Bombyx mori: one gene and its partners. Each later gene encodes a partner of the first gene's protein in a complex. Links are inferred from orthologs where the notes say so. Each region holds a gene or a part of one and is shown in the gene's direction. Other genes may lie near its edges. The genes, in order: trafficking protein particle complex subunit 8, trafficking protein particle complex subunit 12 and trafficking protein particle complex subunit 11.

The links.
Region 2: trafficking protein particle complex subunit 8 (region 1) and trafficking protein particle complex subunit 12 share a complex: the UniProt entries of both Homo sapiens proteins name them as parts of the multisubunit TRAPP (transport protein particle) complex. The link is inferred for Bombyx mori from reciprocal best matches to the Homo sapiens genes TRAPPC8 and TRAPPC12.
Region 3: trafficking protein particle complex subunit 8 (region 1) and trafficking protein particle complex subunit 11 share a complex: the UniProt entries of both Homo sapiens proteins name them as parts of the multisubunit TRAPP (transport protein particle) complex. The link is inferred for Bombyx mori from reciprocal best matches to the Homo sapiens genes TRAPPC8 and TRAPPC11.

The regions. Positions count from the first base shown.
Region 1 is NC_085111.1:9,717,603-9,723,456, forward strand, and holds part of trafficking protein particle complex subunit 8, read left to right. Parts: intron 1-324; coding exon 325-613; intron 614-903; coding exon 904-1,048; intron 1,049-1,847; coding exon 1,848-1,935; intron 1,936-2,747; coding exon 2,748-2,839; intron 2,840-4,099; coding exon 4,100-4,288; intron 4,289-4,834; coding exon 4,835-4,935; intron 4,936-5,111; coding exon 5,112-5,360; intron 5,361-5,854. UniProt on the Homo sapiens protein: Plays a role in endoplasmic reticulum to Golgi apparatus trafficking at a very early stage. Maintains together with TBC1D14 the cycling pool of ATG9 required for initiation of autophagy. Involved in collagen secretion.
Region 2 is NC_085126.1:10,492,661-10,498,514, reverse strand, and holds part of trafficking protein particle complex subunit 12, read left to right. Parts: intron 1-812; coding exon 813-970; intron 971-1,374; coding exon 1,375-1,518; intron 1,519-2,859; coding exon 2,860-3,006; intron 3,007-3,943; coding exon 3,944-4,110; intron 4,111-5,426; coding exon 5,427-5,550; intron 5,551-5,854. UniProt on the Homo sapiens protein: Component of the TRAPP complex, which is involved in endoplasmic reticulum to Golgi apparatus trafficking at a very early stage.
Region 3 is NC_085125.1:14,658,896-14,665,490, forward strand, and holds trafficking protein particle complex subunit 11, read left to right. Parts: upstream 1-2,859; 5' UTR 2,860-3,048; coding exon 3,049-6,360; 3' UTR 6,361-6,481; downstream 6,482-6,595. Other genes in the region: proteasome beta subunit, read right to left, coding at 6,558-6,595. UniProt on the Homo sapiens protein: Involved in endoplasmic reticulum to Golgi apparatus trafficking at a very early stage.

The DNA.
Region 1 (5,854 bases):
ATTGCATCAATGCAGCAAGGACTGATTTTGAATGTCAAAAGGATAATTCACCTTGTGGAACTTACAAACCGTGGAAACTTCTAAACAGTAGTTAGTTTACCAAAAATAAATAAACCATGCAATTCTAAAAAATACCTACATATTTATGTGTATATAAGTATCAAAATGCAATTTAATTTTAAAATCAATATTTTAAGTAGATTTTATAGTATTTGTCTATGGGTGATGAATTATGCTTAGTTTAGCAATTGAAGAGTGTTTTGATTTTGTTGAAAAACATTAAAATAACAATGAAAAATAATATTTTTTTAACACATATTTTAGCTGGTCGAAGTTTTTTAATACCCCAATCAACACATTGGTTTGATGCTTGGAGGGAAACATACCTAGATGTGCAATTTCCATCTGACCATGAATTCACAAAACATTTCCTGTCATGTATTATTGTGGGAACAACTGATGACGAAAATGTTGTGGACACTTTCAATGGCCTGAATCAACAATATGCCCAACTACAGAATGTAATGCCACCAAAATTGCCTAAATGGTTCAACAATTGTATTCTGAAAACATATTTACTACTTCATGATGTATCTGTTGTTTCAAAAGAAAGGTATGTTCTTTATTTCCGTCAATAATATAGATGGTCAGATGAGAGTGCGGCTCAACTGATGTTAGGTTCTTACTGAAATCCACCACAATGTGAATTCCGCCGCTGGAATGTGACATAGGTGTTTCGGTAGGCAGCGGCTTGGCTCTGCCCCTGGCATTGCTGAAGTCCATGGGCGACGGTAACCACTCACCATCAGCCGTATGCCCGTCTGCCTACAAAAGCAATAAAAAAAAAAACATAATATCGAAAATTATTTAAGTTAATGCCATTGTATTTTATTTATGTTAAAGGGCTGATGCTGTGTTTGACACGTTGAAACATGCTTTTGGACCTAATAGTTGTTTTATGCTTCCCATTAATTCTAAAAGTACGTCAGATGCTAATGTACCTGCAGATTTATGGAGCCAGTATATTAAGAGATCTCCAGATTCCACCGTATGTAAATTTTTCTATGACAGAATGAAACTAATTAAAATTTTTGGTAGGCAGTGACATGGGTTTTCCCCTGGGATTGCTAACGTCCATAAGCCACAGTAACCACTCATCATCAGATGGGCTGTCTGGCCGTTTGCCTATCAGGGCAATAAAAACATAATTAAATTACTATTTATCTAGATTAAAATAAAGTGTCCAAATAAATGAGAATTAGGTGTGACAAAATTATAATATTCAAAAAGAAACGTGGTAAATGCAAATATAAATTATAAATTTGAATTAAATGCAAAGACAATATAGCTTCTTAATACTATAACAAAAATATTAGAATAGTTTTCTTTATTTAATGTAACAAAACCAACCTAGCGTGAGCAAGGTGTCATCTTAAAAAGCCCAGTTTCACTTTTACGACAGTCTAGCATAATGTGCGCATAGTTTTCATCTTAGGTAAAGGAAAGTAGGGACGCACTGTGTCTATATATTTCTGCATCGTAGAGGTACGATGCGTAACGCGTTACAAACAAACTGTTACGGCTTTATTCATTGCGTAGCTGAATGAAACAGCTCACAGCTCACGTGGTGTAAAGTGGTTATCCAAGGTTATCCGAAAGTGGTTATCCGAGGACATCAAAACGAGAATGCTATCACCCACCTTAAGATATGAGGTAGAAACGAAACATGCAAAAAAAGGGTTATAGCTTCTGAACCGATTTACCAGTATAATAGCATTAATATAATTAATTTCATGGTAATTTGGTTAATTATGTATATTGCGTATACTTTACGTATTCGATTTCAGAGTGACGTAGCTTCTATCTTCTCGAATTTAGCAACAACGCCAGCAGAACAAGCCCCTATATTTCCATCTCAAAACATTATTGAAAGAGGTTAGTGTTGATTTTAAATTTTGAGCATATCACTACACAAAGATATAGTAATCATTACAAACAAGTTGTAAATTTTATTTCCCAAATATTTCTTTGCGCAGCCAACCTTTAAATCGGTTGTTGTTGTCGTTGACGGCACGATTTTTAAAACTGTCCGATTTTTTGTTAAGGTTAATGTTAGGGTTATAAGTTTTTATGTCTAAGTTGTAGGTGTTTCAAATCTACAAAACGTGACGCCGCGTGCTCTGTGCACTTAGTGCTAGTTTTTAACGTTCTCGATAGCGTAAAAGTTAACTCAAATATACAATGTATGGAGTTGGAACAGCGCCCCTAGCGGCAAACGTTAAAAAACTCGCCCTAGGCACACTCCTAAGTGTTTTAGTCACGTGATCTTAAGTAGCTTCAGTTTCGCTTATTTATATCTGGAAAATATTGAATAGGCTTAAATACAGTATTTGCTGAGCCTTTCGTGAGTCATAGACATAATTAGAGCCACCTCTACGGTTTAAACTCGCGTTTTTTATCGTCGTAAAATTATTTCTTACTTTTCCAGTTTTCGTAGTCACGGATGACGACTAAGCCAAAAAATATCACAATTTTGTCATACCTATCACAAATATATTAATATAGTTTTTGGATTAAAATTAATTACCTATAGGAAACATAATTCTATTACAAAATACAGATAGTAGTTACGTTTGATTAACACGAAAAGTTTAAATTTGAAAAGATTGCTATGTCAATACACAATACTAACAGCTATTAATTAGATATCAAATTAATAGAAACAATTATGCTCTCGTTTTATTAAGGTGAAGACACATTAACAGGGTCAGTACAAGAGAGTGTGCACCCACTGACAAGCCCAGAAACAGATGTTTATGACAATGCCAACAGTTTGCAGGTAGGGGGAGATCCTAAAATGCAAAGTAAAATTCTTATCCTTAAATAAAGTAAATATATTCAATGGACGGTTGACATGTTAAAAACAAAGTTATTATAATATTAATACTAGTAGAACCCAGTCACGCCCCGCCGTGACTATCGTTAAATTATTCACGCACCCCCTGTCGTACGTTAATGGAACTATGATATTCTATAACCTTCTTAGAACTACCGACAACTACTGTACTCAGGGCTGCATTTAAGGGAGGGTAACCGGGGTGAAAGTCCCGGGGCCTCCACAAACGGAGAGCCCCCGCAATAGAGACTTTGGAAAAAAAATCTTTCAAATTCCGACAAGTAAACACTAGTAAACATCTTTTCTTTCTCCGTCGATATACTTTTTTTCTCTGTTTTACTTAAAGTTAACACTAAAATTTAATTTCAGATAACTCTTGTCTCCGTTTATATTTATGTATGTTTGTTAAATACTAAGGGAATCTACGTGGTTTCACAATAAATTATTTATTGGAAAATTCGACTGAAAAAAATCGCTCATTTTGTTTGGAAAATAATGTGGGGCTCAAGGGGCCGCCGTTCCTCTGTTGCCCCGAGGTCTCCATACCTCTAAATCCGGCCGTGACGGTACTAAGTTACACCACAATTAGATGAACGGTATAGGAACTCATAAAGACAAAATATACCTACTATTTATTTTATTTAAGTTTATAATATTAGGAAGTGCTTATCTTTTATAGAACTTTTTTTTTTATTGCTTAGATGGGTGGACGATCTCATAGCCCACCTGGTATTAAGTGGTTACTGGAGCCCATAGACAACTACAACATAAATGCGCCACCCACCTTGAGATATAAGTTCTAAGATTTCAGTACAGTTACAGCGGTTGCCCTACCCTTCAGACCGAAACGCATTATTGCTTCACGGCAGAAATAGGCAGGGCGGTGGTACCTACCCGGACTCACAAGAGGTCCTACCACCAGTGAAATTGTGTGGTGGAAAATTTTATAAGATTATAATCTTAATATGTTTATCTTATTTTACCTATGTCGAAATCAAAATGCCAACATATTTTGCACAATATTTTCAGATCTATAGCAGAGTAAATTTCAAATAACATATTATTATACTACATTTACATTATTATAATGAATGATGAAATAATGTACTAAAACTTCAATTTTTTGCCTATTTATATAGTTTTATTCAAAGGTTTATCTTATTTTGAATATCCACCTAAATTGATTCGTCGAAAATGTTTCAGACCCATTCGTTTTCTGGCAGTGTAGAGAGTGTTAGCGTCAGCGCAAAAGGAATTGATTTGTCTACTGAAGTTCATGGGGCTGCTTTAAACAACAACGATATAGAGGCCATCAAAAAATTCCTTCAAGAATATGCATCAAAAGCCTTGCTGCCGTACATAGAAAAGCAAATCTCCCAGCTATCTGAATCAGTAGGTTCACAGTACTAACAATAATATTTTATCCTTAGTAATATTCTAGAAAAAAAATCTATCATTTATTGATCATGCAGGAAATTCTTGTAACATATTTTTATATATGCGAATGAAGGTAACCGTAGTTAAAGGTCGTTGGTGTTGATAATGATGTGGTTGGTCTATAATCTATTAAAGAACGAATTTCAAGCGAAACTTTATATTCGAATTTATTTGCAAGGATTCAAACTTATATCCCATAAATTACAAAGAAATTCAATTAACTTAAAAGCAGCTTTAGTAATACTCATTATATGAACATAGTAACTTTACACATAAGATGTGCAGACTTGCTTCTGGGGTCCACAGGCACCAGAACGTGAATGCCGTTTTAAACCTTGAGGCATGAGATTAAGATCTTAATTACATTAATGAAACGGCTGCCCTGCTCTTTAAACCGGTTAAAGTTTATGGAAGTCCGAAAGTACTATAAACAATTAAGTAACAGTTGCCTAGTCAAGAATCAAATCGACAAATGCTAAACAAATAGTTATATTAATTTAGGTAGCCAACAGAAAAGGAGTAAGTAGATCGCTTCTCTCTGCTACAAAAAGATGGTTCGGCACTGGTAAAGGTGGAAATGCTACCGGAAATAGTGCAGTTGTGTAAGTACTCGATTTTCTTTGAAGCTTATTTATTTTTGGTTTTTAATTTCACTGATTTTTTTAAAGTATTTATCACGAGGGGGCCTATCTTTAGCAGTAGATGTCTGTGGACTGAAAAAAAGAGGAAAAATATAAAAATATTTTAACTATTAATCACTTGTGTTTTTCTTTTTTAGATACACAAATGACTGTCCCGAACTACAGTTACGACGTTTGGGCGATCTTTGGTTTTTGTGCGGGCAATGGCAGCGGGCTTTCGATACCTACCACACTGCCAAAAGAGAGTTCTATGCGGACAGCGCGTGGCTCTGTTACGCGGGTGCGCTCGAAATGGCCGCAATAAGTGCTTTTATGGCTGGTGATTCCAATCGTAAAACTCATGGATATTTAGAAGAAAGCATCGTTACATATCTTAATACTTGCAGGTAAATTGAAACCGCCAGAAATTTAAATAATAAAACATTTTATTGAGTTATTACGAAGGTTATTTAGCAAACGACCGGTTCGACGACAATGGTGACAGGTTTTTGGGGGACCCTAAAAGCACCGATAGTGGATCCGGAGGATCCGAAGTAGCGTGTATAGGGCGACGGTAACTGTTTACCGTTCGGTCCGCAGGATCGGGAATGCAGTTACCGGCGGTCACAACAGTTATCGTGCTGCGCCGCTTTTTCGAAATGGTGTACTGATGCCGACTGAACATACTTATTGATGGAACAAAGTTCCTGGTCATCGTGAAGATCCATGTTTCGCACGAACCACGGTGCTTCGGCGCCTATCCTGAAAAAACGGGATTGAATAATTTGAAAGGGTTTTAAGTTAGTGCGGGCCGCCTGAGCGAACACTACTTGCATAGGCGGTCATGACCGGACTTATGTAAGTTTTGTAAAGAGTCACCTTCACCCTCATAGTCACGAAG
Region 2 (5,854 bases), on another chromosome or scaffold:
GGCAGGGCAGTGGTAGGACCTCTTGTGAGTTCGCACGGTTAGGTACCACCACCCTGCCTATTTCTGCGGTGAAGCAGTAATGCGTTTCGGTTTGAAGGGTGGGGCAGCCGTTGTAACTATACTGAGACCTTAGAACTCATATCTTAAGGTGGGTAGTGGCATTTACGTTGTAGATGTCTATGGGCTCCAGTAACCACTTAACACCAGGTGGGCCGTGAGCTTGTCCACCCTCTTATGCAATAAAAAAAACTTTAACATGAACGTATTTTTTATGAGCATTTACGTAGCCATCATGTACCTATATTTCCTCAGCGCCAAGAAAATAATTTTATTGAGACCGGAGGAAGCTTCTCTCATGTGCGTATGCCCGAAGGGGCGGGTGCCAGCTATTAAGGTAGTTACTATACCAGCTAACTCTAGGCGGACTGTGAGCTCGTGCCTATCTAGTATCTATGCAATAAGGATGCTAGTAAATTCATTACGCGTCCTATCTCCATTTGAGACTGACTGATCGACTCAAGGACCGAATTCGTGATCGGAAATCGGAATAGGCCAATGGCTAACATACCATTACTTGCCTGCCTGGCACTTGTCTCACTCCGTTGGGTCACGAACCGTCGACAGATCGTGACCCTCACTTGAAAAACTCCATAGGAAATCTACGTTGTAACCTCGGATAATTTTTTGAGATGGATGCTATAAATACGAACGAAAAACAATTGACGTTAGCGCGTGTTGGGAATCAGGCAGCACCATCTAGCGATGACAATAGTAATTAAGCCTTTCACTTCACATCTCACCTTGTCCCTCAGGCGTGGGACGGATGCACAGACCCACGAAGCACACGCCGCGCTCCCTCCAGCTCTGGTTGACGAGGTTCTCCCTGATGCTGAGGATCAAGCTACATGAACCCCTGATCAGGGAGGCGGAGCAGTTCGGCGACTGCACCAAACCCGACATGTTTTACCAGGTAATTCGAAATGTGGACACCAGAGAATTTATTACCATTTGAGCAAGCTCTAAGCTCTAAGCTTGGCATTGCTGAAGTCCATGGATTTTTTTATTGTTTAGATGGGTGGACGAGCTCACAGCCCCCTGGTGTTAAGTGGTTACCGGAGCCCATAGACATTTACAACGTAAATGCGCCATCCATCTTGAGATATAAGTTTTAAGGTCTCAGTACAGTTACAACGGCACCCTTCAAACCGAAACGCATTATTGCTTCACGGCAGAAATAGGCAGGATGGTGGTGCCTACCCGCGCGGACTCACAAGAGGTCCTACCACCAGTAAAAACCAGGCTACCGAGTATTTGGCCCTTGACCCCCAGCCTGATCATAACCGTGTGCATAAAATGCGGTCAATTTTATTTCAGTTCTACCCGGAGTCTTACGAGAACCGTCCGGGATCCCTCGTTCCTTTCTCGCTGAGGCTACTCCTGGCCGAGATACCGGGGCACGTGGGCAAGCCGGACGAGTCCATGGACAGACTATACGCGATGCTCGATATTATACAGCAGGTTGGTTTTTATGATGGTCGTGGTTTCGTAGCTTTTGGTGCTCTGGTGTTGATAAAGCTTGCAGTCAAAACTCTGTGCCGATTGGTAAATGTGGTCCACGGTCATCACAACGTGAACATGAGGAGAATCCGCTATATTGGAATATTAACAAAGGTAAGATCATTGAGATCATTCATATTCTTCTGTCATTGCTTGACAGTTGACGTTCGTAAGGCGCTCGGAACTTGTATTTATACAAGCAAATTGTAAATGTCGTTATCGCGATTCAGGTTTTTATCTAATGCTTTAAATATTGTAACAATATTTATTGTTACAATTAATGTTGTAACTTTTTTTTCCCTACCTATGCTGATAACCTTGAGAGGCTATTTCAGCTTCTCTCTTTGACGTGTAGGTGAGCTTACGGGGCTCAAACCTGACGACGTTTCTAATACTAACTAATAAGTGGGCTGTGTCTGTGGGTTAATTTACTTTGGACGGTGACTGGTGCTTGTGGTACCTAAAAGCACCGTTAATGGATCGGGAGGATCCGTAATGACGTGTGTTTTAACCTTCTTCAGATCAAGTATTGTTTCGTAGTGCTTATGCAAACTTATGACATATATATCACAGGATAAAAACCCAAGTTAATGCCTTTCTTTATTTCTACCCGATGATATGTAGGCGAAGTAAAATGTCCCTTAGAAATAAGGTGACACTCTACAAAACTTGCATACGCCCCGTCATGACCTATGCAAGTGTAGTGTTCGCTCACGCGGCCCGCACTCACTTAAAATCCTTCCAAATTATTCAATCCCGTTTTTGCAGGATAGCCGTCGGAGCCCCGTGGTTCGTCAGGAACGTCGACCTCCATGACGACCTGGACTTAGAGTCCATCAGTAAGTATCTGCAGTCGGCGTCCATGCGCCACTTCGATAAAGCGGCACGACACGAGAACCCTCTCATCGTGGCCGCCGGTAACTACATTCCCGATCCTGCGGACAGAATGGAAAGCAGTCGACGTCGCCCAAAACACGTCATCTCGGATCCTCCCGATCCACTAACGGTGCTTTTAGGTACTTCAAGCACCGGTCACCGTTCTCGTCGAACCCGTCGCTTGCGACGAAGGGCTCGACGAGTAAAAAACTCTCAGACACAGCCCACTGAGTTTCTCGTCGGATCTTCTCAGTGGGTCGCGTTTCCGATCCGGTGGTAGATTCTGCGAAGCACGGCTCTTGCTAGGGTTCGTGTTAGCAACGTCATCAGGTTTGAGCCCCGTGAGCTCACCTACTAGTTAGGGTTACGCTGGAATAGCCTCTCAAGGCTCTCAGCTTAGGTAGGAAAAAAAAAATCTTTATTCAGATGCTGTCGAATCTCCGCGACGGAAAGACCGAGGACGGCTCTGGTCTCCTCTCGTCGGAGCAGGATAAGGCGGAGTCGATACGTTTGTGGATGGGGAGGGAGACGAGGGTGTATCATTCGATCGTCAACTGCGCTATAGCCCTGAAGGTAATTTATGTTTTGGGAAAAAACCGAAAAAACGTTAGCCGACGCGGGACTCGAACACCGAGGCGAATGCACCGAAGTGAATGGAGCGTCTTGACCTCCAGTCTGCGGTGATTTTCAGAACATCTTCGAATTTGGGAATGTATAGAAGGAAATGGAATTTTAGACTGAAAAACCAGGAATTTTACTGGTGGTAGGGCATCTTGTGAGTCCGCACGGGTATGTACCACCACCCTGTCTATGGTCCCTGGTTTGAAGGGTAGGGCAGCCGTTGTAACTATACTGAGACCTTAGAACTTATATCTCAAGGCGGGTGGCGGCATTTACGTTGTAGATGTCTATGGACCCTGGTAACCATTTAACACCTGGTGGCCGTGAGCAACATTTAAGCAATAAAAAAAATTGTGCGCGTGCAACCTGGTGCACGTGAATGAAGTGAAACTTCTTTTTCGATGTGTAGTATTGTAATTTTCTTCATTTTTCATCCTTAAATCAGATTGCTCTTGTAATAGGGAATGCTGTGTATAAGAGATGCGACATCTTCAACATTTATGTTATATATATTTTAAATTATAGATAGAAAAATATATAAATCTTTTTTTTAAATACTTCATTAAAACATTGGACGCTACTCGTTGCTAACGCTCGCGCTGGCCTGTACCAGGTATACTACGCGCATTCACTCTCGCTCTGTCTCTTTCTATTCCCCCTCCCCAGGAGCGTTGAACGTTTAACGCAACCTTGTTGGAAGTCGCATTAGAAGTTTCACTTCGAAAATCGAATTTTTTATTAGGATTACAAGCACGCTTCCAACGTGCTGTCGTCGTTGGAACAAACACTCTCACTCTGTCTCTTTCTATTCTATGATGGCGTTAAACGTTTAACGCAAGCTTGTTGGAAGTCGCGTTAGAAGTTTCACTTCAAAAATCGAATTTATCAGGATTACAGGCACGCTTCCAACGTGCTGTCCTCGTTGGAACAGGCGTGCAGCACGGCCGGTCAGAAGCGAGCCGTGTGCAGCGCGCTATGCCGCCTCGCGCTGCTGGCCGGGCACGTGACGGCCGCACGTGCGCACTGCCGCCGCGCCACCGAGAACCGGACGCACGTGTCAGTAGTACCCGCTACTGTTAATCGTAACGTTAAATGCGGCCGAATGCAACATCGGCATGTGTGACGTCATTTGTGGCCAGTCAACGATGAGCTAATAACATATACCGTCTTTTCGCATTATAAGTGTACAATTTCAAAAAATATTCGAAATTGAGTTAATATGGGGAATCATTTGGTATCACCACCAGTATTTTTCTCATAAATATTGTCAAAAGAACGTAGTTTAGTTTAATTTTTTTTTTTTAGTTTATCTATATTTTTACTACAACTAACAAAATTAATACATAATCTTATCTTACTTTAAAAGACAGATAATGTAACTTGTAAAAACTAAAAAATATATGTTGCAAAGATGATTAATATTATTATAAAAATATCACATGTTAAACCTTTAAAACACTCTCCTGTAAAATTTAGTAAGTTTTGAGATTATACTGTTTTAATGCGAGAAGACGATATATGTGGGAAACGGAACGTTTAGAGTGAAAGGGATGAATGTATGAGGAAGAAAGGGACGGAAGAGAGAAGTTCAAGATGGCGATCGGGCATTAGAGGTATGAACGTTTTACGACGTGTGCTAATTTATGAAATTTTGCTACTTTTCCAAAAGACTGTTATTTACTTAATCTCACATAATATATGGTCACGTAATTGTTTTTTCTAAAAAAAAAATATTTTTTATTGCATAGAGATGTGATCAAGCTCACAGTCCTCATGCTGTAAAGCGGTTACAGGAACCCATAAACATAGCATCTCTGACCACCCGGAACATATCATCATCATCATGCTTTCCTATTACCCTCTGCTGGGGTGTAGGGCTCGAATCAAATTTTTCCATTTGTATCGGTCTTGGGCAGTCTGTTCTAACTCCTCCCACGTCATGCCCGGAACATATAGACAAACACTAATTGTACTTTACTTTCTGTTGTTATTTATTGGTTCGCGCGGGTAGGTACGTCCACGCTGCCTATCTCTGCCGCGAAGCCGACGTGCGTTCCGATTTGATATTAAGACTGACCGTCTCGTCATGTTTTTTTATTTATTGATTAGATGGGTAGACGAGCTCACAGCTCACCTGGTGTTAAGTGGTTAATGGAGGCCATAGACATCTTGAGATATAAGTTCTAAGGTCTCAGTATAGTTGCAACGGCTGCTCCGCCCTTCAAACCGAAATCACTGCTTCACGGCAGAAATAGGCGGGGTGGTGGTACCTAGCCGCACGGACTCGCAAGAGGTCCTATCACCAGTAATTGATGTGTATGGACTCTCCGGGGTGGCGGGGTCACGCTGATGGTGGGTTGCGATGTCTGCAGATGTCCGACGCCCGACGTGCGCGAGTACGTGGACCTCGGGCTGGTGGCGATGGCTCAGGGGAAGTACGAAGACGCCTACAACGACTTCGTGAGGGCGGCCGACCAGGAACCCACGAACATTATGGTGCGGCTCGTTCTTAAACTCTACCGTTCGTGAGCACCCGTGAACATGTTACTTGAGTGATTGCTTCACTGTTGCCACACTGTAGTAGTCCTTGCATTCCCGATCCTGCGGACAGAATGGAAAGCAGTCGACGTCGCCCAAAACACGTCGTTTCGGATCCTCCCGATCTACTAACGGTGCTTTTAGGTACCTCAACCTAGTAAATTAACCCACAGACACAGCCCACTGAGTTTCTCGCCGGATCTTCTCAGTGGGTCGCGTTTCCGATCCGGTGGTAGATTCTGCGAAGCACGGCTCTTGCTAG
Region 3 (6,595 bases), on another chromosome or scaffold:
GATTATCGTGCGTTGAATTCACGTACCATACCTGACAGGTACCCAGTTCGCCATATCGGTGACGTTGGCCATAACATATCTGGGTGTAGTATATTTAGTACAATCGATCTCGTTAAGGCATATCAGCAAATTCCTGTTGTGCCTGAGGATATCTGTAAAACCGCCATCATAACACCCTTCGGACTCTATGAATTTAATTACATGACTTTTGGTCTGCGCAACGCAGGCCAAACGTTTCAAAGATTTATAGAATAGAATAAATTTATAGAAGTTGTGCAAGGTCTCGATTTTTGCTTTGCGTACGTTGACGACATATTAGTGTATTCCCGTGATGCTCTTCAACATGCTGCACACCTTCGTACTCTTTTCAAGCGATTTGAAGATTACGGAATCGTTATAAATCCAGCAAAATGCGTGTTTGGTGCTCCCGAAGTTACTTTTCTCGGAAACAGAATATCTGCCGACGGAACACAACCACCATCAGAGCGCATTCAAGCTCTAAAAGATTTTCCTCTACCACAGACTGTACAAGGACTCCGTCGTTTCATTGGGATGGTTAATTATTATCATCGATTTCTGCGCAATGCGGCCAAGTTACAAGCACCGCTAGTCAACGCGATCGTGGCCACTGGAGGTAAAGGTCTCACACCGATCACTTGGACACCTGAGCTCGAAGAATGCTTTAATGCCTGTAAAGATAGCTTGTCATCTGCAGCTCTGTTGGCACACCCTTTGCCTAACGCTGTACTAGGGCTTTTCACCGACGCTTCCAGTTCTCACGTTGGTGCCTGCCTTCAGCAGAAAGTCGATGATGCTTGGCAACCCCTGGGTTTCTTTAATAAAAAGCTGAACCCCCGACAGTGCCAGTGGCCAGCATACTACCGAGAACTTCTTGCGGTATATGAGAGTGTGCAACATTATCGACACTTCCTAGCCGCACAGCACGTAACGATTTATACGGACCATAAGCCATTAGTTTACGCGTTCTCGCAACGTCGCGAAAGGCTTCCTCCGGTACAGTTAAATCAACTGTCTTTTATTTCGCAGTTTACCACGGACATTGTCCATATAAAAGGGGTGGACAATACGGTGGCAGACGCCATGTCCCGCATCGAAGCTGTTAGTTTTGAAACTGACCATTCTGCTCTCTCCGCTTGCCAAAAACTTGACGACGAATTGAAAAAGTATCGTAACGATGCGAATTCTTCTCTAAAACTAGAGAACGTCGTAGTTCCTGGCACAAACACTGTTTTGGTCTGCGACATGTCAACAGGGCGACCACGCCCATTTGTATCGGAACCTATGCGAAAGAAGATTTTTGCTCAGCTACATAATCTTAGCCATCCTGGTACTAGATCAACCATTCGATTGATCTCAGACCGTTTCGTGTGGCCTGGCATTGCCAAAGATTGCCGTTATTGGTGCCAAACCTGCGTTGCTTGCCAGCGAAGTAAGGTGACGCGGCATATAAAATCTCCACTTGGACACTTCTCCAGTCCTACGTCTCGACTGAAGCATGTCCATATTGACATCATAGGCCCTCTTCCATCTTGTTCTGACTTCCAATACTGCCTGACTGCTGTGGATCGCTACACTCGATGGCCCGAAGTTTGGCCTATGCACGGAATAACAGCAGAAGAAGTGGCGAGCACCTTTGTAGCCGGTTGGATTGCTCGATTCGGAGTACCTGCTGTCATCACTACCGACCAGGGACGACAGTTCGAGTCGGACCTTTTCAGACGCCTTACTAATTTATGTGGTACTAAACGTATACGCACTACTAGTTACCACCCTTGTGCCAATGGGCTCGTGGAGCGCATGCATAGACAATTAAAGGCCTCTCTGATGTGTTATGATGATTCGTGGTTGAATGCATTACCTTTGGTCTTATTAGGAATGCGTTCAGCTTTTAAAGAAGATCTACAAGCAACAGTAGCGGAATTGCTTTACGGAGAAACATTAACGCTTCCAGGGGAACTGTTAGTACCTCCCGGTCCTTCTGGTTTCGAGGACCCGACGGATTTTGTCGTAAAGTTAAGACAGCGTATGTCTAAATTGCGTCCCACTCCATGTTCCTCACACACTAAACCATCACCTTTCATATTTAAAAATCTTTCCACCGCCTCTCATGTCATGCTCAGGGAGGATTCGGTTAGACGTTCAATGCAACCACCTTACTCTGGTCCTCATAGAGTTATATCTAGAGCCGAGGACGGAAAAACGTGGTCGATTGATGTAAAAGGGAAACAGGTGACGGTCAGTGTCGACAGAATTAAGCCAGCTTTCGTCGAGCATTCTTTAGTAGATCTCGTTCCAGCCCCAGCACCGCGGGTTTCTGTGCCTCAACCAGCGCAACCGGATGCTACTAATGTCCCTTCATGTCCACTCGTGCCTTCGGCACCTCTAACTGCTACTCCTACACATACACCTCAATATACCACCCGGTCAGGTCGCAGAGTCCACTTCTCCAAACCTTTCGACCTATGATAATTTTTCTCTTTTTCTGCGGATTCTCCTTCTCCGTAGGGGGGTGGTGTGGCGTTTTATTATGCGTAAGCCGGAACGCACGAGATGTGGGAAAAAGGAGATAGTCTGTGCCACAATACCTTTTTTACCGCCAAATATGAAAAACATAAAAATAATTTATAATGAGTTAAATAACTAATTTAATGTAATTACTTTATGCCGCTACAACAATAAAATTAATATTGTTCCAACTGTGGTGTTAATTACATAAAACACAACCAGGCGAAATAAAGAAGGGACTCTATATGAGCTCCCTCAGGTACATTTTTTTCTATGGCTACTGCTATTTACGACTTACATACTAAATCTTTCTAAAACGTCAGACGTCAAAGCAAAGCTTTCAATTTTACTTTTGACATTACTCCCTGACGTTTTACGTTAAAAATTTGTGAAACGAATGATGGGGGTGTCACTGTCGTGTAGAAGAATCTGAATTTGTGTTCACCGTGATATTTGAGATGTTTAAAATAGTATTTAGAAGTTAAAGTGTGCTATACTACTGCATGATTAAGCTCATATAAAATGGCTACCCAGCCTAATGATTATACCGAATTCCCTACGGAGATCATTCTGAAACCTCTGGCTCTGATAGGACTATCTGGACTTGATGCAGTTAACAATGCCGTTCACAAAGAAATCTGGGACGCATTCGCGAATAACCGACGCGCTGATCGCACGCCTGTGAGATTCAAATTACTTAACAATACGTTTGAGTTTCCAGTGGTAAAGCCTAAGAGAAATTCATACGAATGGTACATACCTAAAGGCATACTAAAAAAAAACTGGATACACAAGCGTGTATCGCTAATACCCGCTGTCATAGTCATTTTCTATGATATGGATTGGAATGATACACAGTGGAATGAGAAAATTATAGAATGTGCATCCAAAGTCCAGTCTATCCGTGCTGCAGTAGAGGGACATGCTACTCGTGTGGCTGTAGTAGTCATACAAAGTCGGCAATCTCCTCCTCCTTCTGAGTACATGCTTGGAGCCGAGCGTGCCCAGGCACTTTGTGCTGCTTGTGAGATCCAGTCTAAATCCTTGTTTGTGCTTCCTCATGGTGATCACTTAATGGGTTATATAGTCCGGTTAGAAAATGCATTTTATGATATTGCACAAAATTATTACCACCATGAAGCAAAAAACATTAAGCAGCACAGAGACCACCTCAATAAAACAACACATCAGTATCTCTTTGTCAGACATCAGTTCAAACTGGGCTATCTGAATGAGTTGAAGCAGGACATCAATACTGCACATAAGCATTATGTTCATGCTTACAACAACCTGCTGGAAACAAGAACAGTAGATACAAACCTGCATGAAGTTAGAACAGTTGCTGGCTATATTAACTACAAACTGTGCAAGATACTTTTTGCATTAAATTTGCCAAGAGATGCAATTTCACAATTAAAATCTCACATTGAGAAATACAAAAGTAGAGTTGGTTCTACTGACCTACTGTTTGAACATTATGCGTGGCTAGCTAGACAGTACAGTGCCTTTGGAGAACTTTTTGATGAAGCTATCAGGGCTGGTCTGCCAGCCATTCAATCTCAGCATCCTGGGTTTTACTACCAGCATGCAGCTCAGTTTACTGTAAAAAGAAGACAGGCTATGCGCTCTCTTTGTGCTGAAGCATTACAGTATCCACCTGCTCCAGATCCTTTAGATGGTATTCTAGAATATTATGGTCAGCGACCTTGGAGACCTGGTCGTTTAAGTGCAGATCCTCATGACCCTCAAAAAGAACAGGCAGCTATCTTAGCTCTACAATACAATGAAAGGATATTCAATCATTCTACAATCATCATCAGCTTCCTTGGCAGTGCTATCTCACAGTTTAAGTCATTTCACTCTCCTAGAATGAGGAAGCAACTAGTAGTTGAAATGGCAAATGAATATTTTTATTCTGCTGACTATGGGAAAGCACTAACTTTGCTGACTCACATGTTGTGGGATTACAGGAGAGAAAAATGGTGGTATTTAGCTTCACATGTCTTGAACAGAGCTCTGCAGTGTGCATACCTTGCAGCAAAAATACAAGACTATTTACAGCTGTCAATTGAAGCACTCTCTAAAAATATCCAGGTGCCAAACAATGATAAAGATAGGATATTCAGAAATATAATGTCTGTTATACATTTAAACATTCCAGCTCCTGAACCCGACCTGCCATCCTCTTCTCAAAGCAAAGCTGTGGAATTGTGGCAGTCCATGATCGAAAAAGAGCCTTTGCAGGTTGCTGTGGATATGGCCAACATCTCCAGTTTTTTGGAAATCAAACCTAAATTCAAACAGATGAAATATAGAATGGATGAGTTAATTGAAGTGGAACTGTATGTTAGGCTAACATATCCAGCTGTCCTAGAAGTAAAGAAGGTGTATTTGACAATATCAAGTCAATCTGAGACTATTGAGATCCCAGTAACTGATGATATTAATCAGACCATAACATTAGAAGGGAGCAAAGTGAAAAGGTTTTTGTGTCAGTTCAAACCTAATCCCAAGGATGTTGGATCAGATTTACAGATAAAATGTGTATCTTTTGTTCTTGATTCTGAAAGGAAAAGAAAAATTATATTGAATTTTAAAACTGATGACAAGAAGTCAGAGTCAATTATACATCCAGAATTGTTACACTTCATCATGAGCCCTAAATCTGACTATGAATTTGATTGCATTGTGCCTTTGAGAGTAGCTTCAGTAACATCAAGAGAGTGTAAATGGTCCATTGAAGTTACAAATTGTAGTCCTGCTCTACAGGGAGAATGGTTTCCAACCACTTTCACAGTAACAAACAATGAGGAAATTGCTGTATCTAGTACAAAGATAGCATTATCTTTATTAAGTTCACCTGAAAATCCTAACCCTGAGTCAGTAACAGATTTAAGTTTGAAGGAAGGTGAAGCTCAGTTACAACCTTTACATATTTCTGTGGGCAATGTTAACAGATCAGGAACTCACACTAATACATTCTACTTAAAAACAAACAGAACAGCCACAATAACAGTTCAAATTAGAATATCATACATCATAGACCTTCCTGCAATCAAGAAACTAGAGTGCATGAAAGATTTTACATGTAAAATAACTGTCATCAAACCTTTTGAAGTAACCAGTGCATTTGTTAGTACAGACTTTAGTCCTATTTCTAAATGCTTTGTTGATGACCCCTTTATTGTCATGCCACAAATTAAAATTTTAAGTCCTTGGGATCTTTTAATAATTGACACAGAATTAGAGGTGGTCGATTCATTTAAAAATACAGACAAAACTAAGCCTATATCCTGCATCAGAAATCTAGAAGTGGCAGAGAAAAACATAGCTTCAGATGCAATTTGTATTCAAGCTAAATACAATCCTAAAGATAATCCAACTCGAGTTGGTTTGTACAACATAACTTGGCGACGGAAATCTAATCTTCATGGGCTCTGTGTGATGAGCAGCACTGCTTTATCAGGACTGCCTATAGATCAATGTCCTGTCTCAGTGAAAGTAGACTACCCTGCTGTAATAGAACTACTAACATCAGTTCCACTCAAATGTATTTTAAAAGGAAACACAAACACTCCAATAAGACTCAGTCTTGTAGTGAAATGGACAGATGACTATATATTTTCTGGATACAAGAAACTATCAGTAATGGTCCCACCCAAGGGACAAGTAGAGCTAAAATATAATATCCGTCCCTTATTTGCTGGTAACACAATGCCCCCTAGAATTACTGCAACAGTCATAGGTGATAATTCAAGTCAGGATGCAGTCAGTGAAATGTTTGAAAAAGCTTTCCCTGAAACTATTTTCGTTGTGCCTAAGTACAATAATTAAATCAGAATGTAAATTGCAATTACAATGTTGAGTTAATAACTGTATATAATTGAACAAATTTTTAGATCTAATAAAGTTACCTTATAATTAAAAATAAATAAATTTTGTTATTTGTTATAAATGAGTTTTTATTCAGAAATATAAGTAACAAAATTATTTTCTTGTATGAAATATTTATTACTTTTTTTTGTAACAAATTAATCTTTGCGAAGTTCAAATTTCTCTTCTTGAATAC